Tamandua tetradactyla: one gene and its partners. The protein of the gene in region 2 purifies or fractionates together with the protein of the main gene of each other region. This does not show direct contact. Links are inferred from orthologs where the notes say so. Each region holds a gene or a part of one and is shown on either strand. Other genes may lie near its edges. The genes, in order: CSK, TNS2, DMD and DTNB.

Region 1 (7,744 bases), on a different chromosome or scaffold from region 2:
TGCCCAGGTCTCAATTTCCCCAAGGGGCTGAGGGGACCTCTATTCCCACTGGGGAAATACTTGCCCTAGGAAGTAGCCTAGATGGGAGGCAGGAGGCAGCCAGGCTCTCAGAGAAGAGGCCTGTGTCCACTCAGCTCTAGTGCTGGGAGGCCGGAAGCGGGGGGTGGGTCAGGCCCCGGAAATCAAACAGCAGCCCATCTTCCCAGGGCAGGTCAATCACATGGTGATGAAGAAGGGGGAAGGCAGGAGGCGGGGCAAGGCACTGGTCATAGGAGCCCAGAACCTCAGTTCAGAGGACCTTGGGGCAGGGGCCATCCTCAGCCCTGCCCGGTAAGCAGTTAGCCAACTCGGTCCAGGGCTCAAACAGCTCAAACAGCTCAAATAGCTCCACCACACATCCAGAAAGCCTGCTGGAGGCATTCTCTCCACACCACCCCACTAATAAATGGGAAACAATGCATAAGCTCAGTAACAGGGCTTGGGTGAAGTTGCTCTGGCAGAGCTATTTGGAATATTCTGTAGCTTTTTAGGAGGAAAGTTACTTAGCCTGTGCAGAATGTGAGAAAATGCCTATGGCCCCAGTAGTAAATGAAAAAAGGCATCATGGCTTGTACATTCGAACGGCAACAGTAAGAAAAGAAATCAGGAAAAGCTGGCAGGAAACTCCAAAATGCTAATAATGACTGTGTCAGGTAAAGGAATAGTGGGTGATTTTTGTTTTCCTTTCTAGATTTTCTGTAGTGCTGTTTTGTTACTTTCAAAGTTAAGAAATTAGTACTCAGGTAGCAGCCGGCCTGCCCCCAGCTCAGATCCTGGCATCTGCAGACGACCCCAGCATTTTCCACTACAGGGCAACTGCTTGACTACAGGACACAGTAGTTTCTCAGACACACAAGGAGGAGAGCCAATAATCTCTCCTTACCTTCTCTTTCCCAGACCAAATACTCCTGTTCTTTGGGAACTGGGTCTCAATCCTCCAAAATACCTCAAAAGATGGAGCCCAGAACTAGACACACGCTGTCCTGCCCAACTAGGCCACATTCCCTAATAAACCACCCAGAGACTTTTTGGGGGCAGTCATGTCACACCTGTGCTCATTCGGTGTGTCCTCTCTCCAACCCTTGCCATGGGACACTCCCACTTGAGGCTCAAGCTCTCTAGGCCCAGAGTCCCCTGGGAACATCTTCTGGTCCTTTCATGCTTTCCATTTGATGTAGAGAGAAGAAAAGCCCCTTCAGAGGGGGAGGAAGGTACCAAGTTTCCCAAATGAAAACTGCACACACACTAGTACCTTCTACAATGGCCTTGGGACTCCACGCCTCATCCTCACAGCCCACGGTTCATAAAAAGCATCTAACCATGCCAGGTCCCATCCACAGGCTGGTGAGGAAGTTAGGGCTGGGGCCCAGGACAGCTGGGTCCCCTCTAATGTCCCTGATGGAGCAGCAGGGAGAGAACCCTAAACCAAGGGCAGGGGCCTCGAGTTAGACAAAACTGCCAGCAACCCCAACCAAGGAAGCCCAGGCACTGCTCAGCACCCTCCAGGGACCACCCCCTCCTAGGATAAAGATGAATCTGCCATACTTCCAACCTCACACTTGCTGCCTTTGCCCTGTTCCTACTGTGGACATGCTAAGACAGTGGGACACCCAGGGTGCGGAGTTTTGCAATAGGCCCTGTGGGTGTTCCCATTCTGACAATGGACCATGCAAAGGGTGTAGGGAGCTACCAGTGGTATCAGGGCTCCCATTTTCCTGATCCTGAGCCCATCCCTGTTCTGAACTTGGCTGTTTCCGTGCTGGGGGGCCGGGGAGGTGGGGAGGGCAGGAGGGCTGGAACACTACTGACCACCAAGTTGTTCCAGCTCAGAGTCAGGGTCCAGGACTCCAGCATCCTTGACACACCACACAGTTCGCACCTCACACCTACCACATCTCCTACCAGTGGGACCTAGCCTCAGCCACCAAGGGGAAATCCCACAGACAGTGCTGACGCTGAGTACAGACCAGAGGAGCTGGGGCCGGAAGCCCTCACCCTCCTCTCTAGTCCTCTGTAGAGGAGCACGTGCTCACCCCGCACCATCCCTCCTAGGCCACCTTAGTCCCTAGTGGGTGATGGTGCCTTCCAGACTCCCCTCCATCCATGGCAGCCCAGCTCTGCAGAGATGGGGTATGAAAGGATGGTATCCTAACTCTGCCAAAGGTCTGGGGGTAGTGACTTCCCCCTTTGGGCCTCGTTTCCTTGGTCTATAAAATGGGTGGGGAAGTAAACCCTTAGTTAAATTCCAAGGATACAGAGGCTGGACACGCCCATTCCTGACAGCTGGCCTGGGCCCTGGGAACCTGGGAGAATGGGCTGACCAAGCTGCATGGAGGTGAGGGCACAGTGCTAATGTCCAGTGTCGCCTGCACCCAGGATGGAGGCCCTGCCCAGTTTCCCTGCCCAAGGGTCAGAGGTCTCTCAGCTCAGGCCTGGTCTTCTGGGAGGCAGAGGGTCAAAGGCTCCAACCCAGGACCTGGGCCTATGATAAGGTTCAAGGGAAGTGGCTGGGCCCTGGGCTGCCAGAAGCTAGCAAGGCCTCGGTGGGGAGTGGGGAAGGGGTCAGACCCATGCAGGCCAGGACACCTGCAGGGAGGACCTGGCCATGGAAGAGCAAATTCCCATGGAGTCCAACATCAGGGTCCTGGCCCACCCTGGCACCAGGCTCCAGCCACCGCCCCCACCCCCATCCCCCCAGCTCCACAAGGGGGGGAACTCGGGTAGGCCTGGGCCAAGTCTGTGTGGCTCGCAGGGCAGTGGCTCTCCCCGCGTGCTCCCCTCCCGGTCCAGTTCTGACAGGGACTCCCGGGAGAATTTGAAGCTGGGAAGGAGGGGATAAGGGAGATGGGGGATGGGAGTGGACGCGACGGAGGCAGCCACGGAAGCGGGACGTGCGACCTCCACCGTCCTCCCTCGGTGGACACTCACACCCCGCCTCCTCCCGGGCCGCCGGGCACTCACCTCTCTCCCGGCGCTGCGGTCCGAACCAACTCGCCGCGGGCGGCATCAGCGGCCTGCGGGACAGTCCATGCGGCCGGGGGGAGGGGGGGCGCAGGGGTCCTCGGGGGTGCGTGCCAAGAGGTCCGGGGACGGAGAGAGGGGGGAGGCAGGGCGGCCAGACCGAGGCAGGGGGCAGGCTGCGCGGCCGGGTCGGGGAGGGAAGAAAGACGGGGGAAGGGGGGGTGGGAGGGAGTAGGGGGGAGGAAACAATGTAGCCGGCGCGGCCCCCGCAGAGTTTCGCTTCCGAACGCCGCTACCCAAGCTCGACTTCGGATGGTCGCGTCCGCTGCCAGGGGCCGCCCCTGACGCTCTATCGGGGGCCGCGGGGGCTCCCCGCGCTCCACGTCCCGGAGGCTCCGGCGGCCACAGGCTGCCTAGGGCGGGAGGGGCGGCTGGCCGGGGTACAGCCTCGACGGCGGTGGGGACAGGCGGTCTCCCCGCTCGGACCCCACCCCGGCAGGACCCCCCGGGACAGGGCACGGGGTGGGGCGGGAGCGGGAGGGCGGCGGCGGTCTCGGCGGCGGCGGCGGCGGCCAACCTCGGCTCGCCCGAGGCTCCGCTGGGAGGAAGCTCGCAGGCCTGGCGAGAGGAAGCGCGGCCCGGATCCTCCGCCCGCGGCAGCGCGCCTGCGCGAGGGGGCCTGCCCGGCGTGCGGCGGGGCGTGGGCCGGCGAGGCGACGCCCCCTGCCGGGCGCCGGCGGCACTGCGGGGGGGGTGTGTCCGCGCCCACGCCCTGCCCCCACCGGCCTGTCTGTGTTGGAGGCTCCTGAGGGTCCCCCTCAGAGGGTCGACCACCCCACCTTGAAACAAGCTCTGAGCGCTCTCTTGTCAGCTTTCCCAAAGTAGAAGCGATGGAGGCCGGGCCTCTCCTCCAGTCTGTAGGGGGTGGGCCTCACTGGCCGCAGTGAGCGTTCATTCATTCATTCACTCATTGCTCTCTAGGAGATCTCAGTCTGGTGGGAAGACTGACAGGTTAAAAGAAAATCGCAAAGAAATAATTGATAAAAGTAGAGAGGTGATGTACAAGGTCCACAGGAAGCAGAAAAGAAGGGAGGGTTGATGGGGAGACTTCACAGAGCTGGGACACCAGGCAAAGGGAACAGCATGGGGGAAGACAAGGGAGAGGTGAGAAAGGAGAAAACTTCTGGGAACTATAAAGAGCAAGCAGCTTGGGGTGTGGTGAGGTGAGAGTGGTAGGAGATGAGGTCCCTGCAAGCAGCATGGGCAAGAGCAATCACGAAGAGCCTTGTGGGACTTCCTTGGACTTTATTTCCAGCCTTATGGCAATGAGGAAGTTGTTAAAAGCTGTGTGACCTTGGGTCATTTACTTAACTTCTCTGTACTTCAGTGTTCACATTTGTTAAAATGGGGAGAATCATAGCACTAATATCTTAAGATTTTTAGGGAGGAAATGAGTTAATAAATTTAAAGTGCTTAGTGTGCAGTGGCTGGTACACGTTGAGTCCTTAATTAAGTATTGGCTGATATATATCTTTGCGGAAAGTGATCTGCTCTGAGCTACAGGACCACCAGACAGTGTGAGCTGGGGTTGGGGGTTGGGGCTGTGGTGGAGGAAACTGAATATACCAGTGTCAAAGGAAGGAGTTCAGAAGCATCAGGCTTGTGTGGGCAGAGAGGAGGGTGCCTTCCCTGGTGGGGAACGTGAGGCATGTTGGCAAAGTTTTGGAACCCAAAATAAATATGGAGGGGCCAAGGGAGTAAAAGGGACAGGGAAGGGCCCTGTGGGAGATAGTGCTGGGGAGACATGGTGGCTGCAGATTGCAAAGGGTCTTGAATACCAGGAGCAGGAGTTGAATGTCCCCCACCCCACCCCAGAGAAACCACAGGTTGTCCCTCTGACCCAATAAGCCCCTGGGTCAGCTTCCTAGCAAGGGGCCAGACCTTTGGGGGAGAGAAACAGCAGTAACATGCTTACCCTTTGGGGAGATATCCAGGAAGTCTAAAAAAATATCTGTGGTGTAATGGAAAAAAAGCATGAGTTTTAAGTTCAAATCTCAGGGTTAACTCTCAGCTTGTCCATTTACTAGCCGTGTTAGTTGCCTGAGGTCTCTGAGCTGTTTCCTCTTCTATAAAACCAGGCTCAGAATACACCTTTCTCAAGGGAAGTGGTGCAGATTCAGCAAGACAGGAGCCTGGGGGTGGGCGAGGGGTGCGTGGGGAGGGTGCTCAGCAGGGCTGATTTCCCTTTCTTTCCTCCGGAGATCTAGATGGAATGATAAGGTGGGGCCGGATGGAGGTGGGGTGGGGTGGCTGCCTCTCTGCCCTCAGCTGCTCAGCAGAGACTTCTGGAATGGAGGGGTTGACATCTCCTTCCCCTCCCCCTGCCTAATCTGTTGGCAGGATGGGAAAGAAGGGACTGTCAGGATTTGGAGAAAAATATTCCAATCCCTGAGGAGCTTCATCACCAACCTGTCTCCACCCCCTTCATCCCCCAAAACACTTGACCCTTTTCCTGCATGCGCCGATTGTGAACTTTGGAGTCAAATAGACCTGCATTTGAATCCTGCCTCCACCTCACAACAGGAGTCGATGGAAGATTTTTAACCTCTCTGCACCCCAGGGACTGGGGCTAAAACCCTGAACAGATCAGTCACAGGCTCCAGCCCATAGAGCTATCCTTTAGGGGGAGTGCCAGACAAGTCACCTCCAACCTCCTCATTCATTCATTCATTCAGCAAATCCTTAGTGAGTACCTACTAAGTGCTCGGTCCTGTTCTGGATGCTCAAGATGAAGGAATGACTACTACCACCCCGATTCTTGCCTAAGGGGGTAAATAAATAAACAGTAATTAGACAGTGGTATGAAGGAATTGAGCACGTGATGGGCTTGACAGGATGGAGAGATGGTTCTCCACTTTGAGACCCAGAGGAGAAGGTGGAGCCAGACCTTGGAGGAATGGGGGAAGATGTTCCAAGCCTAGGGCACCGGGAGGTTTTAGACCCAGGCTGAAAAGGGCTCTGCGGCCAGGGGACATCCAGAAGGCCAAAGTGGTGAGACCAGCAAGCAGGGGAGAGTGGCCTGAGAGGAAGCAGGGAAGGCCAGAATCAAGTGCCTGATCCTGTAGGGCATTATGGGCCTGGGATTTTATTACATGAGTTTGCATCGAATCTTGTAGAAGGATTTTAAGCCCGGGAGTGGCATGATCTGAAATGTGTTTTAGAAGGCCTCTCTGGTTGTTGGGGAGTAAGGGGGAGGGGCTTAAGAGTGAAGGGTGGAGAGAATGAAGAGGCCAGTTAGGACGTCCAATACCGCTGTTACCCTGGCCCAGGCCAGCGATGTTAGGCGCGGGCTCTGGTGGAAGTAGAGGGGAGACGAGAAGTGGCTGGAACAAAGGAGAGTCGACTGACAGCTCTATGCAAAGTTGGGTGGCTCTCCAGAAGTCCAGAGCTGAAGCATTTAATGGCTGGACTGGGTCTGAGTCCCTGGGGACGGGAAGGGCCCCTCCTTCCTCCACCCTGCTTCTTCCCCTCCCCCAGCCTCACTGCGCCAAGATGACAGTTTAGAGAAGCTGGTGTGAAATAGTTTGAAACTCAGACCTTCTGGGCGGTCCCCTGGGGCAGAAAACAGGAAGCCAAGATTAAAGGCAGATTTTCTGCAAAGTCCCTTTCTATTTCCTGCAGAGCAGGTGCTGGGGCTGAGCTGCTGAGCTCGCTGGGAAAGGGCGCTGGTCCATCTCTGCTCACTTTCAGTGGGGGTGGGACCCAGGGGAAACGGGACCCCTCGGAGGCCAGCCCTCCCGCTGGGGTAGCTGTTCTTAGGCCTTGTGATCACTGGCTTCACCAGGGAGCTCCTGCCTATTTCCTTGGAGAATCAAGCCCTCTCCAGAAGGAGATTGTGGAAGGTGGAAAAAGCTGTGCTGGGAACAAGTCCCCAGCTTTGGCATCACCCAGGCCTGGTGTGAATCCCATTTCCCTACTGCAGGTCTCACTGACCCTTGGGGTTGAGAGTGAGAGGTACAAGCAGTGGAAAGTGTGGCTTAAAGGGGAGAGTGACCAGGGAGAGCAGAGCAGAGCAGTGCTGGGCTGAGAACCCCTGTGGAGAGACAGAAACCAGAGAAACAATAGCCGCAGTGGCCTCTGTCATCTCAACATCGGGGGCCACAGGTTGAATGGCTGAGCTGACATCACAGGTGCTGAAGGCTTGGGAAAACAGGAGCCAGCAGGCCTCTCCCCAGACCTCTTCCCTGGAGCAGGCGGTCTCCAGTAGACTCATCAAGTTGAGAAGCTCAGTCCGAGTGCTCCAAGGGGATGTCCGAGTGTGTTGGTTGGAATCTATTATGTACCCCAGAAAAGCCATGTTCTTTTAATCCAATCTTGTGGGGGCAGACCTACTTGGGTGGGACCTTTTGATTAGGTTGTTTCCATGGAGATGTGACCTTGCCCATTCAAGATGTATTTTAAGCTGCTTACTGGAGTCCTTTAAGAAGGAGACATTTTGGAGAAAGCACAGACGCTTGGAGACAGAAACACACCAGGAAATGCTAAGCAAGGACCCACCTGAAGCTGAAAGAGCCAGAACCTGGAGAGAGCCCAGGGCACTCAGGGCAAAGCCACGGCCTCCCAGATAACTCCTCTCACTCTCCTTAAGGAGCCTGAACTCCCATCCTGAGAAAGCCCGTCCGAATCTAGGGAGTGTGACTCACTGACTCATTGAATCTAGGGAGTGTGACCTCCTCTGGCTGGA
Region 2 (7,163 bases):
TTTGTTTTCTCCAAATAAATCTGATCTTTAAAGTTCATTTTTATGTTGAAATTCTTTCACATACACCCGTACTCCCAGGGCTTTTATTGGACTTAATATTGATTGTCTGTCCTGTCCTCCCACCATCCCACCATCTCATTCAGGTTTAGGTACCATTTCATGTAAGACCAAAGGATAGAACTACAAGGGAATCTTCCTCAACACTTATTGAGGTCCAGGGCAGAATTTGCCTTCCAGCTGCCCCTTTGGCATTTTTTGCCTGGTGTCCTTTCCTCACCTTTTTTTTTTTAAATAAGCTTAAATTTAGAATATTTTTACATTGTACAGGAAAATTGTTTAGATAGTACAGAGTCCCTTATACACCACACCCAGGCTGCCGAATTTTCTTTTTTATTGTTATACTTAACAATACAGAGTCTGGGAATAAATCTTCACATCTTTAGAACAGTTCCTCCATAAATCTCTATCCTTAAGTAGTCCAAAGCTGCTACCTTGCTGGGTTATATCTTGAGTTCCCATTGACAGGATGGTCTGGGCTAGCACAACTGAGGCCACTTTTTCTTAACCAGTCCTGTGGGAAACGATTGTTGCAAGACAGGAAATGGATTAGCACAGTGGCAGAGAGTCCCTAAGGTCACAAAGGGGTGGAGTATAGAAGGTATACCAGAAAAAATCAGTGGACAATGTTGCAGACCTTGAGCAGGACCAATTGAAGCAATTGCTCTTCCAGGATTCTTTCTGTGCATTGATCACTCTTCTCCAAAGCTAACAAAATAGGGGCCAGTGTGCTGTGATGATGCAAGACTTTTCAGTGTGGGTTTAGGGAGGAAGAAAAAGATGTTCCTGCACAGACTGTAGGGAAAGTGAGCACTTGGTTAACGCAGTCACTTTTCTCCAAACCTTCAATTCTAGCGATTTCCCTACCTATGTAACACTGAGTTCTGGATAAATGGTGGAAAGGAGGAGGACTCCAATGGGAAAGGCTAATTTGAAAGGATAAGGAGGAAGGCACTCCCGTAGCATGTCCCAAAAGGAGATCCTAAGTTCAAGGAAATACTTGGCTCTGGTATGCCCCACATAATCATAGAACAATGTGCAGGCCCTCCCATAAGTCCAGCTGCAGAAATGGATGCTAGGACCATCCATTTGTTCTGTACTAATGTAAATGCTGAGCAACCAGAAAGGGGGGGGGGGGGGGGAGAGGATACAGGTGCAGCAACCTACTTAAAAGGTCATTAGGTTTGATGGCCCCATGTGTATTTCAGTCCACCTAGTCAAATTTCTCCTAAGCAAAGCCAAGTACTGTTCTGGGTCCCATGGCAATGAGGGCTCCAGTTATTGTTAAGGGCGTCACCCCAAGTACCACACCAGGTCACAGCACCTGACTTCTCAGGAAGTGGAAGAGCTTGTGCACATCTGCTCCTCAGAAGCACAATTTGTCAAATAAACCTTGTTCCTCAGCAACTACTATAGCCCCCCAGGGCCACAAGTGAAAGGAAGACTTGCCTTCCCACCCTCTCCCTCTCTCCTAAAAAGAAGGAGTTTGGAAGGGTCGAACTGTACTGCTCCCCGCCCAGCTGCAGCCACCTCCCGGTTGGACAATACACTCTCTGTCCTCAGCCGGGAGATCCGCCTCTGGAGTCAGCTCTGCCCCTTCCCCCGCTCTTCCTGGTTCCCAGTGCCCAAACCCCTCCACTGAAGTTCCCCTGACCCAGTGCTCTTCCAGCCAGGGCAGCCCCACACCCTAAATGTCCCCTCTCCCCTCAAAGTAGTCCCTTCCCCACCAAAGATCTGACCACACCCAGTCACAGGCATGAGATCACCCCGGATCATGGAAGAGGAGGTTCAGCCTTCAGTGCCAAGATTGGCTGCCCTCTGCATAGTCAAGGTAAGAAAACCTGCAGGGGGGAGGGGGGAGGGGGGCCCCTGAAATTGTTTCACCCTTTTAATAACAGCCTCCTGGCTTTCTCCTCCCTTTCCTCTTCCCTTCTGAAGCTCCCACTGCTCTGGGCTGGTAATCGAGATACCTGGCTGGCTCCCTGCACCACCCATTTTTATTTCAACCCCACTAAACCACCTGCTGTATCACTCCCAACCTTGCTCATCAGCTTCCTTCACCCTCCTTCCTCCAGCCCCCATCTCCTTAGTCACAATGTTGAGAAGAGGAATCATGTCTGAGCTAGGGGTTCAGCTACCCATCTTGTAACCCTCTCCCAACTTCTTGGGAATTCAAAAGTTCCTCTTATGGCCCCACCAGGCTGGGCAGCAATACCAGCATGACTGTGAGGTCCTAGCCCTGCTCACTTCTCTCTTCTGAGTCCCAGTATTTCCCTTGGTATATACCTTTAGAGATTAGAGCCTACCCCCCTGGCATGCATCCCAGTCCCCAGCCAAAGATCCTAGTGAACCCTGGAAGGGGCAAAATGTTAACAAAAAGGGGGGGGGGGGGCAAATGTAGGCTCCAAAGAAATGAAGACATTTCCACACCTTGTCTCTGGATTACATTACCAAATCTTGCCAAAAGACACAAAAGGACCTTCAGCTCTGACCTTTTTCCCAGTAATCTTCAATCTCTTGCTCTCTTCAGTCTTCTCCTAACTCCTGCCTCTCCCTTTCCCCCAGCGCCTTCCCTTCCCACACAGCTCCTTACCCTCACATTCCCCTGTGACCCCCACTGATCTAACCCCTGAACCTGCCTACTGGACACTAATGCAACCAAAAGTGGTAAAATCAAAGCTCCTCAGGTCTCAGCTACATCCATCCCCTCCCAAATGCCAGCCTCTGGGGTCTTCACAGTCTCTTCCCTATGCCAGCTTGGAATCAGGTGCTCCACCTCCTCGGACACAGTTGAAAGATGCGGGGGGAAGGGACAGAGGGCCTCAGAGCTAGTAGTGCTGACTGCCTTGGACAGGCACTGGGCATTGTGCCTTGGACACTGGCTTCTCAGAATCTGCCTTTCCACCCCAGTTTTCATCACGGAAACTCCAGTGGGGAGGGTGAAGGAGGGAGAAAGTTTCCGGAAGTGCTCACTGCTAAAGAACGTTGTTGGAATTTAGTACCGGCAATAGGCTCAAGAGCTTCTAGGAGGACATTCCCTCCCTTATCCCTACCCTCCAGATCCCTCCTCCATGGTAATAACTTCCAATTGTACTGGGGAAGCCCAGGGCTTGTATTAAATGTGAGAAGACCCTCTTGAGTAGAAGTCTCCAAGGGAGTGGGAATGATAGTGCAAAGCTAAAACAGGTGGTGGATGGGACTGCTGGAGCTGCCTGGGGGTGCGGTGTAGCACCAGTAAGTTTCCTGTGAGCCAGAGAAGCAGGAAAGGGTGTCCAGCGGCTTGGGAAACAAACACCTGGTGTCTTCACCTGATCTGAGCTCCCCAGACAGCAGGCCGCAGATGTGCTCTGCCTGGGGCTTTGGGGTCAGACCCAGTCCCAAGAACACTCCTGGGGGAGGACAAGTTTTTCTGTCCTTGTTTCTAGCCACCTTCTCTTCAGCATCTCTTTGGAGCGCGTGTCTTTTGCCTGTGTCCTGCCGGGTCAGTCTCTCCCGGACTCCCTGTCGCCATTTCTGGGTCTCTCCGGTCTCTGAGATGTTCCCCGTCGCTGTGTTCTCGGTACCCGTCTTTCTCAAAATCTCGCTCCCCATCTCTTAGTCTCTTTCCATCTTTCCCAGCCTCGGCCTCTCTCCGTATTCCTCTTCCTGCCCATCTCTTTTTGAGTCTGAGTTCGCGGTGGAAGGTGGGGAGAAGAGAGAGAAAGGAGAGAGGACGAGGGGCGGGGAGCGGGCGGAACGTGGGGATTGGAGCCGGGGCGCAGGAGGGAGGGACGGAGCCGCCGCGGGCGCGGGGAGCGGTGGAGGCGGGAGGGAGCCGAGTCGAGCGCGGCGCGCCCGCTCCCTCCTCCTCCTCCTCCACCTCCTCCACCTCCTCCACCTCCTCCTCCTCCTCCTCCTCCTCCTGGTCCCGCTCGGCGCGGGCCGGGGCGGGATGGGCTGGCCCGGAGGCGCCCCCTGCTGCTGCCCCGCCCCGGCGCGCCCCCGCCCCCCCGGGCGCCCCCCGCAGGTGAGTGGCCGCGCCGCGCTGGGCGGGAGGGCGGTGGCATCTGCGTCACGGCCGGCCGGGTAGTGCCAGGGGCGGTCGCCAGGGGGCGCGGGGTCGCCGGGGGTCGAGTGGGCGCGGGGAGTGGGGTGGGCGCCATTGGGCTGAGGTTAGGGCCCGAGGTCAAGGGCAGTTAGAGGCCAGGAAGTTAGAGGCCAGGAAGGTGGCCAGGGGGGCGGGTCCCGGCCGGCCGGAGGTCACACTCCGACCGTCACGGCTTCACGTGTCCCGGGCGCACACGTTGCCGTTGCCGGGAACAGGCACGGTGAAGCAAGTTGCCTGGACACACATAGTTCCCAACCCAGGTGGGCAGGAGCTGGCAGCGGCACTCAGGACCTGGCCTGGGAGAAGTGTGTGCGAGTGTTTTCCTTTTCTGCTTCACATCTGGAGAAACTAAGGCAGAGAGCAGGCACAGATGAGACTGATTGGACTTTCCAGCCCCATTCCACACATCAGCCAGTCTGCTTCTACCCTCAGTTCTCAGATCCCTCTGGATACACCCATTTACTCGGCCTTGCCTCCATCTCTCCTTCCCTGGGCCTCACCCTTCTTCCATGGCTGGGCCCTGGGCTCTCAGCCTCATATCCAACCACAGTTATTTCCAGGAAGTGGGATGGTGTGGGTGGAGGGGGTTTCTCCAAACAAACCCAGAGCTTGGGAGAGAGGGCCAGGCGGGAGCCAACAAGGGCCCTGGAATGTTCCAGGCAGAAGGAAGGCAAGAGCTCTAGGGCGGCTGATGATGCCCCCCCACCCATCCCCCACCCTCCCGCTGAGCTGCGTTTCCTTTCAGGCACTTTTCATGATCCCTATCTTCCCTGAGAGGTGCTTCACAGGGGGTGCAGAGGACTCACAGCCAAGTCAGTCCCAGCCCAGGCCACCCACCTCAGGGGCTGGTGAGTGCCCCACTCCCTCACTGCAAACACTGCTCAGGCAGCTCCTTGCTGGGCCTGTGTGGGGAGAGTCTGAGACCAGTTAGGGTCAGAGGGCATTTGAGAACCTGTCCCCTCGTGAAGTGCTCTGCCAGGTGAGGAGATTGTTCAGCCCCTCTGGAAACAGTAGCAGTAGAAGCTTACAGAAGAGATCCTGGTCAGTCATATATGCAGTAGGAACAGGGAAAAGCCCCTGGCCACAGTGCCTCTCCTCCCCCAATCAGCGATGCGTTCTAGACCAGGCCAGTCCCAGTTGCCCACACTGGCCAGGGGCCTGGAATGTCCTGGGACCCAGCCAGGGTTCCTGGGGGAGAGAGCATTAGAGCCAGAGCCCCTCTCTAGTTACAGGCTGGGGGCCCATGCCTTGTCACACAGATGCCACCCACTGACCAAGATACCCTGGGGACAGACTTCCTGGCCTGGAGAATCTTTTAGGAAAAGGCGTCAGGCTAGCCCCAGCCCATCCAGTCCCACAGAAGTGTCTTTGGTGTGCTCCAGACCACATGGACATGAGGGAGGGGGAGGGAAGTGGAAGGGTCCCACTGGGAGAAGCTGGAGTTGGGGGAGTTGCCTGAGCCGCTGGGACATTCAGTAAATGCCATGCAAATAGAGCAGGGCACATTCGCACATTCTTTCAAATGACAGGGCTGTGGTTCAAGGTTTGGGGCTGAGGACCCTTAGGTCATTAACCCTGATGTTTTCCGAAGATTACTACCTCCTTTCCAAGGCCCATCCACCCCCTTCCCTTGACTCTGAGGACAGGAAATTGGCCATGTTCCCAGGAGGGAGGCAGGAGGCCCACAGAGGGGTTGGAGTGTGTGTTGGGAGGGGGACCTCCTGTCCAGTCCTCAGGCCCTAGGACGCAGGCGGCTGAGGGAGGAGAGCAGAGCTAGAACCATGGAGGTAGTACTCAGGCTCTGGGGAGGCAGCGGGGCGAGGGCCCGGTGCTGGGGGCCTGGGATGGAAGGCTGAAGTTGCAGGACTTGAAAAGTGGGGGGCTAGGGACCTGTCAGGTCGGGCCTGAAACAACCCAGACAATGGGTGAGTGGGGGGAGCAGCTGCGGCTCTCACGGGCTCTCAGGAGAAAGGCCTCCAATGCCTTGGGCCATGGCTGGAGGATGGACCACTCGTGTGGGCAGCGCAGCCTTCCTGCTGGGACTTGGCCTTGGAATGGGTAGGGGTGGAGAGGCAGCCGGGGTGGGGAAGCAGTGCGTGTTTTCCTTTCCCTACTTCACAACCAGTGACATGAGGCAGAGAGCTGGCCCTCGGTCCCGTCTGCCCTGACTCCCAGGAGCCACACTCGGGGCCCCTCAGGATGCACTCAGTCAGCATTCTGCGGACCCTGAGCCAGCATGGTTCCCAGTCCCACCCTCCTCCCACCGGAAGTCCCAGGAGGGCCTGAGAGTCCAGGCGGGGACGCTTGCCTGGACACGGTGTTCCCCACTGGCCCTTGAGACCTGCCCTGAGACCTCGATTCCCACCCCACCCCCACCCCGCCTCATGGGGGGCCGGATCTCAGGACCGGGCATGGCTGTAGATCCCTGAGCAAGATGAACCCCGGGAACACTCCACAGGGGCCTGGCAGCTGATGAGGCTGGAGCCCAAAGGTTCCTGCACTGACATCCCAGCAGGATAGATCCTGGGAATCTGATCTCCTGGTCTCCCCCACATCCTCTTCCCCCGCCTCCACTTCCTGGAGCAGCGACCTGCCCCCTTCCCGTCTGCACTCCCCGCCACTTCCAGGGCCGGGCTTCTCGCACCAGGCAGACAGCCTACCCTCCGCCCAGGGGAAGCGGCTGCCTCCGCCAGGCCGCTTCCAGGAAGCCCTGGGCCCGGCCCCAGCATTGTTCAGGTCCCGCGGCCAGCAACCCGGCCAGCCGGACACCATGAAGTCCAGCGGCCCCGTGGAGAGGCTGCTCAGAGCCCTAGGGAGGAGGGACAGCAGCCGGGCCACCAGCAGGGTAGGAGTGCCCACCCGCTGGGCAGAGGAGGGGCTGGGATGGAGGTGCGGTCCGTGGGGGAGGGGGACAGGACTCAGGCAAGACTTGCTTCCCGATTTCAGCTTCTTCAGTCTTCCCTCCTTGCCCCGCATTACCTCCCTGCTCTGTCCTTCGGGTCAGACAGAGGGCGGTTGC
Region 3 (8,140 bases), on a different chromosome or scaffold from region 2:
AACGCCTAGAACTAATAAGTAAGTTCAGCAAGGTCTCAGGAGTCACGAACAGCACACAAAAATCCATTGCCTCTCTATATTTAAGCAATTAAATAATGGAAACCAAAATTTAAAGTACATTATAATTTACACTCACTCAAAAAATGAAATATTTAATTATAAATCTAAGAAAATATATATGGCATCTGTATGCTGTAAACTACAAAACTGATGAAATCAAAGACTTAAACAAATGGAAATGTATACCATAGTCCTGGACTGGAAGATTTAATATATGAAAGATGTAAAGTCTCCTTGAAAATGCATCTACATATTATTAATGTAATTTTATGAAAATATCAGCAAAATTTTTGTTGGAATCCTGTCTTATTTTTCTGGTCTCAGTGCCTCTAAACTAGCATATTTTTCCCACTGGCAGTAACTAAAGATAGATTAAAAAGGAAAAAAAAATCTAAGAAATATAAGCCTTTAATAGAAGGCATCATTTCATATTTCAATAAATATGGATCGTTGGGAGGGGAGACAGAAGTGGCCAAACATGATTTTTTCCCTAAATCAATAGAATTGTGAACTTTATATAAATAGTTTAGGAGGTATGTTTCTTTCGAGCCTGTTATCCTATGAAACTGTATTAAACTTAAAGTTTGAAATTATTAAGCTTAATGTTTGAAATTGTTAAACAATTGAATAAGGGGCGAATGATTCAGCCCCTTCTCAATTTATCAAAAAAAACTTCTTTAGGGTTTTCAATTATTTAAGAATTCATTCCTATCTTGTTCCCTTTTACTTTTAGAGTACTAGGCTCTTTATTAGTAATTTGACTTCTGTTTTACAATACAGGGATTATTAATTTTGGAATATAAACAAGGCCAGTTTTCATTTTCTAACATGTACCATAAAACTGGAGGCCAAAAAAAGAATCATTAAAAAATATACTGATGTATGCATTCAATGTCATATAAATTTTACTTTGTGTTTTTGGACAAAGTATAGGTCTCTATCAATTTCTCTGTTAACAGTTATAACCTTAACATTTAAAATGATTTCAAGATCATATGCATATGGTATTTACTTAACTGTATACATTTAATTATTTTAATGTGCTTCTTTTTCAAAACTGTACTTCTGTACGTTATGCTGTGCTTTGTGTTCTTTGTGCAAACATACACATGAGAAAGAGAAGGCCATCACATATGTATTTGAAATGTGAAAATATAGTTTAATCACAATAAAATTACTGTTAAGCAAAGCATGATGAAAGAAATTTTTAAAATGTAGTATAATCAGAGATATACTGTCTTCATAGACTGAACTTCTCAACAGGGTAAGGATGCTAATTCTATATACTTGATGAAATTCTTATGAGAACACCAGTAATATATGTTGCAGACCTATCTGTAGACCTATCTGTGGATAAGCTTATTCCGAAACTTGTATAGGAAGACACAGAGTCTATAACTACTAGAGATATTTTAAAAAGAAGAAAATATGATTAAAATGCTTAGCCTTGTAGTATAACTATGGAAATTAAGACTGTGTGTTATTGGCAGAGGGATAGACGCATAGAACAATGGTGTAGAATCTCAATCTCAGAGATAGATACACATAAATATGCCTAGCTTATATTTGAAAAAATTATAAATGTAATTCAGTGGACGAAGGACAGTCTTTTCAACAAATGGTGCTAGACTTTGATACAAAAAAAGGAAAAGGAAACTGAATCTAAACCTCATACATTATATACGGATGAACTCAAGGTGAATCAGAGATTTCAGTTTCAATATAATGTAAAATATTAGAAAAACACGTGAGAAAATCTTTGCGATTTAAAACTTGATGAAGAATTCTGTATGTGACACCAAAAGCACCATTCATCAAAGAAAATATTTATCGAGATCGATGACTTTTGCTTTGCAAAAGACCCTGTTAAAAGAATGTAAATACAAGTTATAGACTACGAGAAAATGTTTGTAAGCCACATATCAAAGAAAAGACTCACACCTATCATATATAAAGAACTCTCCAATCTCAGAGGTGGGAAAAAAAAGAAAATCCAGTTTCCAATTTTGAGAAAAGACTTTAAACAGGCTTTATAGAAGAGGATATCTGGATGGTAAACAAGCACATAAAAAAAAAAATGTTCAACATCATTAACCACTAGGGGAATTCAAATTAAAAGCAACCTGAGATATCCCTATTCAATTAAGACTAAAAGAAGAAAGAAAACAGAAAGTTGACCACACCAAATTCTGGTGACGATATGGAGAAACTGAAGCACTCATTCATTGCTAGTAGATATATAAATGGCACAGCACCTCTAGGAAAGACGTTGACAGTTTCTTAACGAAACTAAACACATACTTACAACAGAACCCAGTACTTGCACTCTTGGGCATTAATCCCAGAGAAACTAAAAAGAAATATATACATTTTTGCAGTTTCAGAAAAAAGCAGTCACGTTCACATAACTCGGCAGTTGGACACCTGGACACTGATCCCAGAGAAATGAAGACAAATAAATCTGTACATGATTGGTTTCTGGCTTTATTTATAATAGCCCCAAACTGGAAACAACCAGAATATCTTCCAGCAATGAATGGTTCAACAAACTGGTTGCCTGCAAGTCGATGCAGGCAATAACTTAAATGGATTTCAAGGACATTATGCAGAGTGAAAAAAAGCCAATCTCAAAACATTACACACTATATGATTCCATTTACCCAACCCTCTTGAAATGATAAAATTATAAAGAAGAGATTAGTGTTTGCCAGGTTTTAGGGATGGTGGGGTAAGGGTGGCCAGTGTGCCTCTAAAGGGGTAACATGAGAAATATCTTTGCAATGGAATATTTCTGTACTTTGTGTGAAAAAATGACAGATATATACAAACATTGCACTACTGTCGGTTTCCTGGTTTTGTCCATAGTCATATAAGATGTAACCTATGCATTAAATTTGATAAAGGATGTATGAGAGGTCATCCACTGTCTTTGCAACTTCCTGTGAATAATTATTTCAAAGTAAAAAGTTACAATAATTTTTTCAAAACCTGCCAGTTATAAACTAAGAGAACATGCATAAGTTCCTTGACTGGTCATATTTATATTTGGACTCCTAAGAACTTCCAGATACAGATATTGTGATGACTAAAAGAAAATACGCAACTAAGGGCCACAGGAAAATAATTTGAAGGTCATAAAATTCTTTGACTGTTTGAGCTGATTTTTCTTTCATGTACCTTTCCATTTTTCCACTTACCTTAAGCATGTCTTCACACTAGATTCTAAAACTTCAAGGGAAGCGTACCTATTGCACATATAGCAGAATTTACTCTAGGTACCCAGTAAATTACTGATTATTGATTAATACTGAAATAGAATTAAGATTTAGCTGAGAGCATTCAGATTCAGTGTTTGGCACTTTGGATTTTACCTAAGATCGGAGGCCTAGTTGTTTGTTTTTAGAATCATATACTTCACGGCTTCTCAAACTTGAGCATGCTTTAGAATCACCTGTAAAACACAAAGTGCCGGGGGCTACCCTCCGGAGTTTGTGATTTTCCAGGTCTCAGGGGTATTTGTATTTCTAATCTCCCAGATAATGCTCACGCTGCTGGTTTATGGACTGCACTTTAAGAATCACAGATGCACTATATATTGGACTGGGAATGTGTCTGGGTTTATGTGTCTAGAAATCTCACAGTTCAAAGTATAGAAGGACTTATACTTTAGGTGAAATTGTGCCCTAGAGTGCAGAAAGATATTGATGCTAACATGCAGAATTGGATCTATGTTGGTGCAAAAAGATTTGTTTATTTTATGAATGAATGGAAATGTTTGCTTGTATGCATTTTCATGCACCCAAACTGAGGGGAGATGAGGTAATCTATGTATAGGAAAATTTTAAATCTATCTTTGGATAATCGTAATTTAAATCTAAGTATCGCAAATTAAGAAGTAGGCCTTATGTTTTATTTCATTTAGGTCTTGTTGGGGAAAATGGTACTAATTATGATGATATTCTAAAATATATGGTGTGTAATTAACTATTAAGATAAACCTTGTAGATTGACTCAATGTCAATTTTTTTCAGTTTTGTCTATAATTTATTTCCGAGCCAACCAATTTAATGTTCAGCATAGAAATCTGAGTCTGTCACATTAAAAATTGTATTATGAAAAAACAAATAATTTTAGTAGGGATTCTTAGAATTGGAAAAGGAATATCTTTCTAAAATGAGTTATCAACAGTTCCTATAAATATTGGAGTCACCTGTTGCATTAAAACCATGATAAAGAGAAAGAAACCTATTATGGCAAAGCATGATTCCCAATACCACTGAATGACACATTTTACCCTTGTTCATTTAATGCAGAAAGAAGTCTCTGCTGAAAAACCTTTTAAAAATTGATCATTAACTCACTAAGAGAATAATGCATTAATAATTGCCACCGAACGCATCGAGGAAAGAGTAATTTGTTAGTAAATAAGTTTTATCACAGCCCACAATGAAAATTTACCAGTTCAGGAAGATTTCTTCATTCCATTGTAAGAGTGCTCTTTATTTTAGCAGAAAACTTGTCCCGTGAGACCTACACACATTCTGCCTTCAGAGCTCAGCTGTTACATTCTGCCTTTGCTTCTCTTACGCACACGGTTGGCATCATCAATGCATGATTTTTTTATTCGTTCCCAAGGGTAGAAATGAACTTCCATAGACGGTGGCTACAGAACAAATGCATAGATTATTCTGGGCATTTCTTTTGCATCAGCTGAGCGTTGTTTTTGTAGCATGGTTGTGAGGGAAAAAAAGAAAAAAGGTGTTTAAAAGTCCATTCTCCATCGGGATGTTATGCTCTTCCCTTGCAGAAATCTGCATAAAAGTTACAGAAAGTATTGTTTACAGCTTTGCACTGTAGAGTGTTTTGTGTGTTTTGAAGGCTTGGACAGCAGGCACTCGGTCTACTGAGCTATTCTGGTTTGAATATTCTTCAGAACACAGTTGAACATTATTTGAACTCACAGGACCTGCCATGCTGGAATCACAACCTTATATGTAGTGGCCGTGAGCAGTCCTATTATGGGAAACCAACTTGAGAGAAAAGGCAAGTCCCTTGCTTCTGCGCAGGTCCTGGAATTTCAAATATCCAGGGGCCTCTACAGAATCCTGGCATCAGATGCTATGTTGACTCACTCAGTGTCAGGATCACTCACTTTCCCCCTACAGGACTCAGATCTTGGAGGCAATTACCTTCAGAGAGAAATGAACAGGAAAAACTGAAGTGTAATTTGTTTTTTAAGGCTGCTGAAGTTTATTGGTTTCTCATCGTTCCCCAGCCTGCTGGAGCAATAAAGTTGGCAGAAATTTTTACCAAGATTTTTATTGCTGCCTTGATATATACTTTTTTTTTTTACCCCAAATGCTTTGGTGGGAAGAAGTAGAGGACTGTTGTAAGTACAGAGTAACTTAAAATGTCTTTTGCCACAGTATACGTTTTAGTTTGACAAGTGTACTGATGAGGCAGATTGACTTTTAATTTATTACAGTGTATGAATGAGCATAAATGTTGTCTGATGCATATATCGTAGGCCTGTCTGTGTGCAGATGTACATCTCATTAGGGAAACTTTTCAACAGAAATGAGGTAGGAGTTAGTATTTTTGCCTTTCGCAAAGAGAACCATTTTCATTGCTGTGAAATAGTTTGTGTGACTTGGCTATCGTGATTATGTGATATTTCTGAATTTTGTAAAACATACATGTGGGGTAGTTTCCTGACATGCGCGCTCAGTGAAATCATGTCTGTATGGGAATGAGGCAGGTGCCTCGAGGTTAGAAAAATTTGATCAGGCAGATCATGGGGAGATAATAAAGACTCAAGTGAATTGTAATAGAAACAAGGGAGGTTGAGCAAAGTATTGATAAAGATTTAACTAGAAGCTCCCGTCTCACCTTTCATTTAGTATTTCAGATGTTCATTTCTGTAGCATTTCATGAGAAATCTTTCAAATGATGATATAGGATCTGTGCTGGCAAAGGACCAGAAACTCTCTTGTTGAGAAAACATCAAAAGACAAGCGGATTTGCAATCAAATTTTGCAGTAAAGTTACTAAAGGCAGTTCACTGTTTCGTCTCTGTGATGACTTCCCTTTTCAGGAAAGCTTTTTAAATTTGGCTTTCATATAAAATGCAATTATTATATTTGTTTTGGGAAGAGTCATGATGACTACTGAAAAATCTGAAATTTGACTGTCATGCAATAGTAAAAAAAACTATGTGAAAATAATAAGTGATGAGGACAGTGTGTCCCAAAGACATGGCTAGAGATTATCATTTTTTCCTGTAACCTGTGGATTAGAGTCATTCTGAAATAGATTTGAGGGTAATGCCTATAATTAAGAATAGAAAACTAAATGTAAGTAACTTTACAACTTTTAGAGAAAGAGTCAGAAGAGCAGTTCTCCCTATGAGAAAAACTGGTGGGAATACATTTGTTCGTTTATTGATCCATGTTAGATGCTGCACAATTTCATAGTATAACATTTGTATCATTACTTTCTTTACAAAAACATGTGTAGCACATATTCTTTGCACACACCCCCATTTCTCATTTGATATTATTTCTTTTGGATCGTTATTTTCTAAATATTACAAGAATCATTATTTTATTAATACTACCAGAATTAATGACTGGTGATTTTATATATACATATATAATTTTTGCCTACAAAAACTAAACTCATACACTAGTGCGTAGGCCAACTTTTAGAGAACAGCAAAGATGCAATTCTGGAACAAAGAAAGGCAAACTATTCTCGGTTTTGCATAAATATTTAAATGAGTTTTGTAATTGTAATTGGATGAAAGCTAACTCCTTTTGGGATATGCCCTTGTGTATGACTTTAATATAGCATGTTTTCAAACCATCAGATAATGCTTATGCTACATGGCAGTGGGTGTCTTAAGAGCAAGTGGAGATATTCACAGGGTTACATTATACATTAAATTTTAATGGTTGAAAATATACTATTATCTGGATGTATTGACATTTGATTCCAGTTTTGAATATTGCCTTAATTTCAAAAAGACAGCAGAGTACAATAACATCTTATTTGGCTAGTGTTTTAACAGAACAGTTATCCTTTAAAAGTGAACATTGCCAAACTAACGCAAATATTGTTTACTTTTAGAATTACGCAAAAATGCATTGCCAAAAATTATTCACATATTTCCTAGCTGATATCCACCTCACTCAAATTTTTTAGAATGGTGTAAAACATGTTGGGTTCTAATAAAATCACCTTAAAATTTCACCTGTGTAGTTTTAAAAGGACACCTTAAATCTGTGAAAAAGAGGCTGCTGATCTAAATACATATTTCATAATTTAAGCAGCAGCTTTGGGTGTCTTGATCACATAGCATAGCATTATGATGAATGTAAGGAAAAAGTCCATGCAGATGTTACTATAAACTAAAAAGAAAACTACACAGCATTTTAAGGATATATAATTTTATCTAAGAAAAATAAAGTTTTCTAGTTGGACACTATTCCATCTAGAAAGTACTGAAATACAGAGATTCTTCTTAGTCCTAAAGAATTCATTTGAAATCCTTGTAGTCCAAATCAGTTACTACATGTGAAAGAAAATGTCAAGTTCGTAGCCACTTGCGTGATTTAATAAAATAGATTAAAATCTCTGTTGTCTTGGAAAAGTCAGGTGATTGTTTGAATGTTATTTTATTATCTGTCATGAGGGCTTTATCTCAGAATTTAAAACTTGATTTCCCAAACACTGCTTCCCTTTCCTCATTCTACCTTATTAGTTCCCTACCTTATTAAAAACGGTTCCTCATATTTTTCATTAAGCAATTATTTTTGCATTGCAAATACAACAAAGGTGGTATGTTGACCTGAGTCTGCATGTTTATATCAATACACATTTAAGTCACAGCATACCAAGTTTTTTAAGAAATTAATTGAAGTTAATTGGAAATTAAACTTTCTTTAAATATGCTATTTTCTGCTCATATTTTGTTTTCTGTTTTCAAAGCAGATCACATTTCAAGGAATTGACAAAACTAATGTGTGTACTCTATTCCACAAAACAAAAAATCATGAAGCGCAAATCCACATTTTAGGAA
Region 4 (7,902 bases), on a different chromosome or scaffold from region 2:
CTTGCATTTTCCAGAATGCTAATGATAGTGAGGATCTTTTTGCATGTTTCTTTGCCACATGTGTTTTCTGTTCTGTGATATGTTGGTTTATATTTTTGACCCTTTTTCTAATTGGTTGTCTCTCATGCATATTTTTAAACAAAGTTTGAATCATACTATACATAGCATCTTACTATTTGGTTTGGCTTAGCAGAATTTCCTGAATACTCTCTGTGACGTGGGAGACATTCTTTTATAGCACGATTTTGATGGCTGTGGAAGTTTCTATCTTATGGATATTTCATAGTTTAGTTAATCATTAAACTTTTTTTTTTTTCAGTTTTGGATTTTGGAAGTAACTGTGGTAAATGTCCTAATGCATAAATCCGATTACACATCATCATGTTAGAGTCCTTCAGAGAAACTGAACCAACTGAAAGAGAAAGAGAGAGAGAGGGAGAGAGGGAAGGAAGGAATGAGAAAGGAAAGAGAGAGAGAGAGAACACGATTTATGAGATTTATTATAGGAATTGGCTCACACAGCTGTGGGAATCAGCAAGTCCAAATTTTGTAGGGCTGGAAATTCCAGTGAAAATGATGTTGAATTCCCCAGGAGAAGCTTGCTGGCTGGAGAAGAGGCAGAAATTCTTTCTGATTTCTGAAATCCTTAGTTCTCACTTTAAGACCTCCAACTGATTGGATGAGACTTCTTTCATTGTTGAAGGCGATCTCCTCAGTTGATTGTAGGTGCAGTCAATGGACTAATAATGTAAATCCATTCACGTATACCTTCACAGTAACAATCAGGTCAGTGTTTGCTTGACTAAACAACTGGACACCAAAACCTGCCCAAGATGACACATTAAATTAGCCATCAACCAGTGAATATTTTTATAAGATAAATTCCAAGAATTGAGATTCCTGGGTCAAATAACATCAATATTTTAAGGAGTTTGACATGTATTTCCAAATCACCCTCCAGAAAGTTTGTATCATTTACATTTCTTAAAAAAGAATTTTAACACTGGCTATTAGAATTGAAAAATTTTTGCTTGCTTAATTTGCAAATAAATATTAGCAAAAAAGATAATTTAGATTTTAAAATATGTTTATTGGTTTGTTTGTTTCTTCTTTTCCTGGTATTGATTCTTTTTTTTCCCCAGTTAAAAAAATTTTTCTTTTCATTTAAAAAAATGATTTATTGGAGTTTATTCTAGCAGTTTATAATTCATGCATTGGACAGTATCCATATTGCATGTGGAAAGGAGCTCTGCTGGGGGAGTGGAAAGGGGAAGCTTATAGAAGAAACAAGCTTCTTCTGTAAGTAAGCAAAGGAAATATTCTGGTTGGCTCCAAGGTGGGAAGCAGATCTGCACTGATGACTATGGTCTGCTTGTCCATCCTGATAAACCATCTCTACTGGACTGATACTGGTTTATCACCAGGCACTGCTTATCTGCAGTTCTGTGGGGTACACTCCATTGTTCCATTTTCTCAGATTGCTCCCGCTGGTTAATTGTTTTTGTCTTCTGGAAAATCCTTTCTCGGAAAGAATGTAAATCCATTCACGTATACAGAACATTAAAACATCAGCAGTAAGCTAGACAAAACTTATCTCTATTCTTTATCAGTCCTAGGTGATGAATCCTCGTTCCACTCAGTCTGTGTTAGCAATCTCATGATCCCATCGGTTTCTTCATTAGAATTCTGGAATCTTTACTCAGTCCAGTGATATGATCTTAATGTCATCAGAAGCCTGTGCTCCAGACTACCTGGCACAGCATTTTCCATTGGTCTCGAAACAATTCTTTTTGTTGAGCATGAAGCACTCTGGCCTGTGTTTGATTGCAAGTGCTTTCAGGGGACCTGCAGAGTAAAACCTCCTTTGACCCCTTGGCATAATGAGTACTTTCCACCTGGCTTCTCAGGGCCTCCGGAAGCTGCCAGGGCTCTCCTTCACAGCCCACCAAAACTGTTAAAATAAAAACCTTAGGCTATCAGTTATGGGAGTTTATTTGCACAATTTACGATTCATGAATTATAAATTCATCCAAACCGCACATGGAAAGGAGCTCCAGTTATTGTTCAGGTTATTGCTGGTATTAGACTAAGGGTATGTCAGAGTACCATGTTCAAAATTACTTGGTTTATTTCCTTCTTCATTGCTATTATGTTATTCTTTTGAAATACAATTTTGTTTGTTTGTTTCTGTTTGCATTCAGTTATGGGTTTTAAATTTTTCCTATCCTTGTTTATTTTTTGAATAATGCATGTAACGTTTCACAGTCTACACTACACCAAAAGATAAACTCAGAGAAGTGTCCTTGCCATCATATCTCTCCCATCTCATCCCTCACTCAATCCCTTGTAGGTAACTAATTTCATTTTTTTTTCTGATTTATTGTTCTTGTATTTTTTTTTAGTAAAACAAGCAAATTCATTCTATTTTCTTATTTCTTTTCTTTATTACAGGAGAGGTAAAATACTATATATTTGCATTTGCACTTTGCTTTTATCACTTAGTAATATATCCTGGAAACTGCTATAAAGTTAGTTCACGAAGCTTTTTCTTTTTTACTGCATCCTAGTAACCCATCGTTTGGATGTATCATGGTTTATTTAATCAGACTTCCATGTTTGGGCATTTAGGTAGTTTCCAATATTTTACCACTAAAATAATGCTGCAATGAGGAGTCTTATATGCATGAGTACATACCTATTTTTTTTTTTGAGAATTCTTTAGAATAAAATCCTAGAAGTGGAAGTGCCAGGCTGAAAGGTAAATATATATATTATTTTGTTAGATATTGCCAAATGCACTCCTATAGATATTGTATTATATAGTTCGTTCCCTTCAGCAATATGCATTTCCCCATAACCTAACCAAGAGAGTACGCCTTGAGTGGAATACTGTCTAGTTATCCCATCACCATTTCTTAGACAGTCTATCTTTGCCCCAGCTAGTTGACCGTTTATCATATGCTTGATTTTCATACATCCTTGATGTGATTTCTGGACTTTTATTTTGCTCCACTGGTCTGCCTATTCATGTGCTAGAACCACATTGTTTTCATTAAAGATGCTCTGCAGCATGTTTCAATATTTGGTAGGCTAGCCTCCTTTCAGAGTTCATCCTTTTTTTTTCCTCCTAGAGTTTTAAAATATTTCTTTAATTAGGGTTATCTTATTTTTTCTATTATGAAAATGGCATATTTTAAAGTACACCACAGCATTTAGTTATAGAATGGATTTCAGAGTTTGGTATGGGTTACAATTTCAAAATTTTGTTTTTTTCTACCTTCTCCAATATACTGGAGACTAAAAGAAATATCAATATAATGATTCAGCAGTTGTGCTCATTTGTTAAATACTATCTTCTGTTTTATAACTCCACTTTCTACTTTGATCTTTCTCCCAATCTTTAGGGGTATTTTGGCTATGTCCATTCTAACGTTTTCATGTTGGAAAAGGTTGTTGATAATATGGGATAGAGAGATGAAACTAGCTGATGTTCTGGAGAGGCTGGTCTCTCTGTGTTTCAGGACTTATCTGGCTTAAGAACCCTTCTGGATGTTGTAGGCTTCTGGAAAGTAATCATAGTTCCAGGAAATTTTGTAGGTCTCTGCTAAAGCCCTAGGTGTTCTTTAAAGTTGGTAGGAATGCTTTTTTTTAAAAAAATTAATTTAATTTGTATTATCAAACCAAAACAACATACAAACATGAACAGTCTTAACATACAAACATTCTGTGCATCACATAGTAGTATATTCATCACCAGGATCATTTTTTAGAACATTTGCATCACTCCAGAAAAAGGAATAAAAACAAAAAAGAAAAAACGCATACATACTGTACTCCTTACCCCTCCCTCTCATTGACCACTAGTGTTTCCATCTACTCAATATATTTTAACCTTTGTTTCCCTCATAGTTCATCCTTTACAGTGTTTTTTTTCTTGTATGTTAATTTTGTATTCTGCCATGTTGTTGATTTTTTTAAAATCACTGATTCTCTAAAATCCTTGGCTTGCCTCTTCTTTCCTTAAGTTTCTAGAAAATACTGAAAGTGGTGTACCACTGTCTCCTTGCTTTGTGTGTTGCTCTCGAGAAGTCTGATGCCATTGAGTTTGACTACCAGTCTCCTTAACAAGCTACTCATCTGAAAAAGTAATAGCTTCAAAAAAGAACCAATATTATTTTAATTTCAAAATTTGGGGGTCAGGAATTTGGGAAGAGGTTGGCTGGATGGTTGTTCCATCAGCAGTATTCAGCTAACAGCTGGGCCCGTCTAAGGGTTCACAGTGACATCCTCACGTGCCTTGTGCACTGAGGGGGTGTCCCAAATGCTGGGCGCAGCAAGGCCTTCTCCCTTCCCATGCAGTCCCAGGGCCACTCCCCAGGCAGTTAGATTTTCTTAACAGTGGCTTGTGGCTCCAAGAGCAGGTATTCCCAAAGAGCAGGTAAATGCTTCAAGGCTTCTAATAACCCTGCCTTGGCAGTCTCAGAACATCATTTATGCCACATTCTATTGCTTAAGCACTTCACTAAAGCAAGCCTGGGTTGAAGGAGCAGCAAAGAATTTGCAGCCATCTTTAATCTTGCTGCAGCCTAGTTTTCTACCCTAGTTTTCAAATTGCTTAAAGCAATTTGAATCATTTGCCTGGAAACCCTGAGGATTATTATTAATCCTTCTGTCTAATAGGATAGCTTTCTGAGCTAACCACTTTGTGGCAGTTTTACGAGGTACGTTGTGGACTCTTTCATTATGTAGGTTTATGTTTTCTTTTATTTTCAGAAAGTTACTTGGGTTATAGTTTTAAATATTAGTGCTGTTCCATTGTTTTGTTTTTCTTTTTCAGGAACCTCGGTTACTCATACCTTGGGTATTCTTTGCTTCTGTTGAAATGACATTCCAACCAGAGAGACAAACAAATACGAAAGCATGGAGGTAAGAGAAAGTAGGAACATTCCAGAAATGGATGGCATGTGTGTACAGGGAGCAAACAGAGATGGGTGTGGAGAAGTAGGCAAGGGCTAGATTAGTGGAAAATTCCTATGCTGTGCTGAGGACTTGTAATTTCATCCTGAATGTAATGTGGAGGCAATATAGGACTATGTACTATATTACTGTAAATAATGTACTATGGACTGTAAATTTTTAAAAAATTATTTATTAATTAAAAAATTAAGAAACCAAAAAATCAACATATATAATCAGTAATTCACAATATCATCATTTAGTTGCATATTTATCATTTCTTAGAAAATTTGCATTAATTCAGAAAAAGAAATAAAAAGACAATAGAAAAAGAAATAAAAAGAACACAGGAAAGGAAAAAAAAAATATTATACCTACCATACCCCTTACCCCTCACTTTCATTGATCACTAGCATTTCAAACTAAATTTATTTTAGCATTTGTTCCCCCATTATTAATTTTTATTCCATATGTTCTACTCTGTTGTTGACAAGGTAGATAAAAGGAGCATCAGACACAAGGTTTTCACAATCACACAGTCACATTGTGACAGCTACATCATTATTCAATCATCCTCAAGAAACATGGCTACTGGAACACAGCTCTACATTTTCAGGCAGTTCCCTCCAGCCTCTCCATTACATCTTGAATAACAAGATGATATCTACTTGATGCATAAGAATAACCTCCAGGATAACCTCTCAACTCTGTTTGGAATCTCTCAGCCATCGACACTTTGTCTCATTTCCCTCTTCCCCCTTTTGGTCGAGAAGGTTTTCTCAATCCCTTGATGCTAAGTCTCAGCACATTCTAGGATTTCTGTCCCACGTTGCCTGGAAGGTCCACACCCCTGGGAGTCATGTCCCACGTAGACAGGGGGAGGGTGGTGAGACTGCTCATCGTGTTGGCTGGAGAGAGAGGCCACATCTGAGCAACAAAAGAGGCTCTCTTGGGGGTGACTTTTAGGCCTAAATTTTAAGTAGACTTGACCTATCCTTTGTGGGGTTAAGTTTCATATGAACAAACCCCAAGACTGGGGGCTTAGCCTATAGCTTTGGTTGTCCACACTGCTTGTGAGAATATCAAGAATTCAACTTGGGGAAGTTGAATTTCTCCCTGTTCTCACCATTCCCCAAAGGGGGCTTTGCAAATACTTTTACACTCACTGATCGAATCACTCTGGGATTCATCGGGGCATCACTCTGGACAAACCAACAAAATCTCATGTCCTACCTGAGATTCCAAGTACTTATGGCGTTCAATCAAACTATCTACATGGACTGTAAATTTTGAAAATTTTCTCTGACCTGCAGTATGGAAGAGAGATCGGAAGGAGCAAGACTACAGGAGTGTGGTAGTCAGGTTCAGTTGTCAACTTGGCTAAGTGAAGGTACATAGATCTGTTGCTGTGGACATGAGCCAATGGTACGTGAACCTCATCTGTTGCTGATTACATCTGTAGTCGGCTAGGAGGCGTGCCTGCTGCAATGAATGATGTTTGATTTAATTGGCTGGTGCTTAAATGAGAGAGCACAACATAGCACAGCCCAAGCACCTCAGTATACCTCATCTCAGCACTCGCAACTCAACCCAGGCCTTTAGAGATACAGAAAGGAATCACCCCAGGGAAAATTGTTGGAACCCAGAGGCCTGGAGAGAAGGCCAGCAGAGACCATCCTGTACCTTCCCACATAAGAAAGAACCTCAGTTGAAAGTTAGCTGCCTTTTCTCAGAAGAACTAATGAAATAAATCCCCTTTTATCAAAAGCCAATCTGTCTCTTGTGTGTTGCATTACAGCAGCTAGCAAACTAGAACAAGGAGAAAGAATGGTTAGAATGCTGTTGCATTAGTCTAAGTGAGAGGGGCTGAAGGTTCTAGAGTTATTCACGAGGGTGAATCAACGAGATGTAGTGACTGATTGGGTATGGTAGGGAGGGTGAGGACAAGCTCAAGGATGGCTCCCTGGCTTCTGAATTGGGCAAATGGGTGGACAGTGGTGCTAAACAGTTTTATAAATATAGAGCTTGAGGTATCTCTAGGACCTCTCAGGTAGAGAAGTCTGGTAGACTGTTGTATAGGGAACCCAGGTGAGTGGCTGACATGGAGATAATGTGTGTGGGAGTTGCTGATACCTGTGGTGGGTGAGGACAGAGGGTGAATGCAATGGCTCAGTGATAAAGTATGGGGTGAGCTGAGGGGTGAGGACAGTGCTGTGGAGACTGAGAGCCATGAGAGGGCTTAAGAGAGGAGTTGTGTACTGATGGCCAAGGGAGTTTCAGAAACAGTGGAGCACTGTGTGGTGAAATGCCACTGAGTGCTCTAGTAGTATGGGGCCTCAAAAGTGGCTTTTGGGATTTAGGCCATTAGTTGAGAGCAGGGCAGCCCTGTGGTGGGGACAGAGGCTGCATAACCACAGCTAAGGAATGAGAAGCTGCTGAAAACAGAAGGAAGAGCAGACTGCTTTCAAGACATTTGACTGTGAAGGGAAATATGGCGAGGTGGGGGCAGGATCTGGAGTACAGATAGGCTTCTTTCTTTTTCTCTAAGACATGAAAAGTAGGAGCATTTATAGATGCTGAAGGAAAAGGACAAATAGGTAAGAGAGGCTGACACACAATTTTGGAGGTGAGAGGGAAGAATGAATGAAATATGTTTGAAAGAAGTTTTCTGAGAATTTGGGAGTTGATGAAATACAGAACAGAGAAGGTGAGATGCTAATACAACTTCACTTAAAGTTTCTGCTTCCCCAAATGTTTATAATAGCCTAGCCCACATACTGAAATTACCTTGGCTTCAATCAATAGGGCAAAGAGAGCAAGCAATATTTACATATTTATTCTACATCATTTACACATCTGTTCTCCAAAAGAAAAGATCAATTTTTTACTCTTTCAATGCTTCCCATTAGTGAGTCCCTAATAAATGGTAATTGGATAAACTAAATG

Evidence for each region.
Region 1: the proteins of TNS2 (region 2) and CSK purify together in Homo sapiens (affinity purification with mass spectrometry; 6 studies listed by BioGRID and IntAct, with this or other methods). This does not show direct contact. The link is inferred for Tamandua tetradactyla from reciprocal best matches to the Homo sapiens genes TNS2 and CSK.
Region 3: the proteins of TNS2 (region 2) and DMD purify together in Homo sapiens (affinity purification with mass spectrometry; 3 studies listed by BioGRID and IntAct, with this or other methods). This does not show direct contact. The link is inferred for Tamandua tetradactyla from reciprocal best matches to the Homo sapiens genes TNS2 and DMD.
Region 4: the proteins of TNS2 (region 2) and DTNB purify together in Homo sapiens (affinity purification with mass spectrometry; 3 studies listed by BioGRID and IntAct, with this or other methods). This does not show direct contact. The link is inferred for Tamandua tetradactyla from reciprocal best matches to the Homo sapiens genes TNS2 and DTNB.

The regions. Positions count from the first base shown.
Region 1 is NC_135338.1:67,191,733-67,199,476, forward strand, and holds the start of CSK (tyrosine-protein kinase CSK), read right to left. Parts: upstream 3,212-7,744; 5' UTR 3,001-3,211; intron 1-3,000. UniProt on the Homo sapiens protein: Non-receptor tyrosine-protein kinase that plays an important role in the regulation of cell growth, differentiation, migration and immune response.
Region 2 is NC_135333.1:114,411,648-114,418,810, forward strand, and holds the start of TNS2 (tensin-2), read left to right. Parts: upstream 1-3,945; 5' UTR 3,946-3,988; coding exon 3,989-4,063; intron 4,064-5,836; exon of another isoform or gene 5,837-5,925; coding exon of another isoform or gene 5,926-5,931; intron 5,932-6,616; exon of another isoform or gene 6,617-6,914; coding exon of another isoform or gene 6,915-6,989; intron 6,990-7,163. UniProt on the Homo sapiens protein: Tyrosine-protein phosphatase which regulates cell motility, proliferation and muscle-response to insulin. Phosphatase activity is mediated by binding to phosphatidylinositol-3,4,5-triphosphate (PtdIns(3,4,5)P3) via the SH2 domain.
Region 3 is NC_135353.1:140,599,093-140,607,232, forward strand, and holds the start of DMD (dystrophin), read left to right. Parts: upstream 1-5,135; 5' UTR 5,136-5,418; coding exon 5,419-5,449; intron 5,450-8,140. UniProt on the Homo sapiens protein: Anchors the extracellular matrix to the cytoskeleton via F-actin. Ligand for dystroglycan.
Region 4 is NC_135329.1:9,284,948-9,292,849, reverse strand, and holds the start of DTNB (dystrobrevin beta), read left to right. Parts: upstream 1-4,837; 5' UTR 4,838-4,882; coding exon 4,883-4,926; intron 4,927-7,902.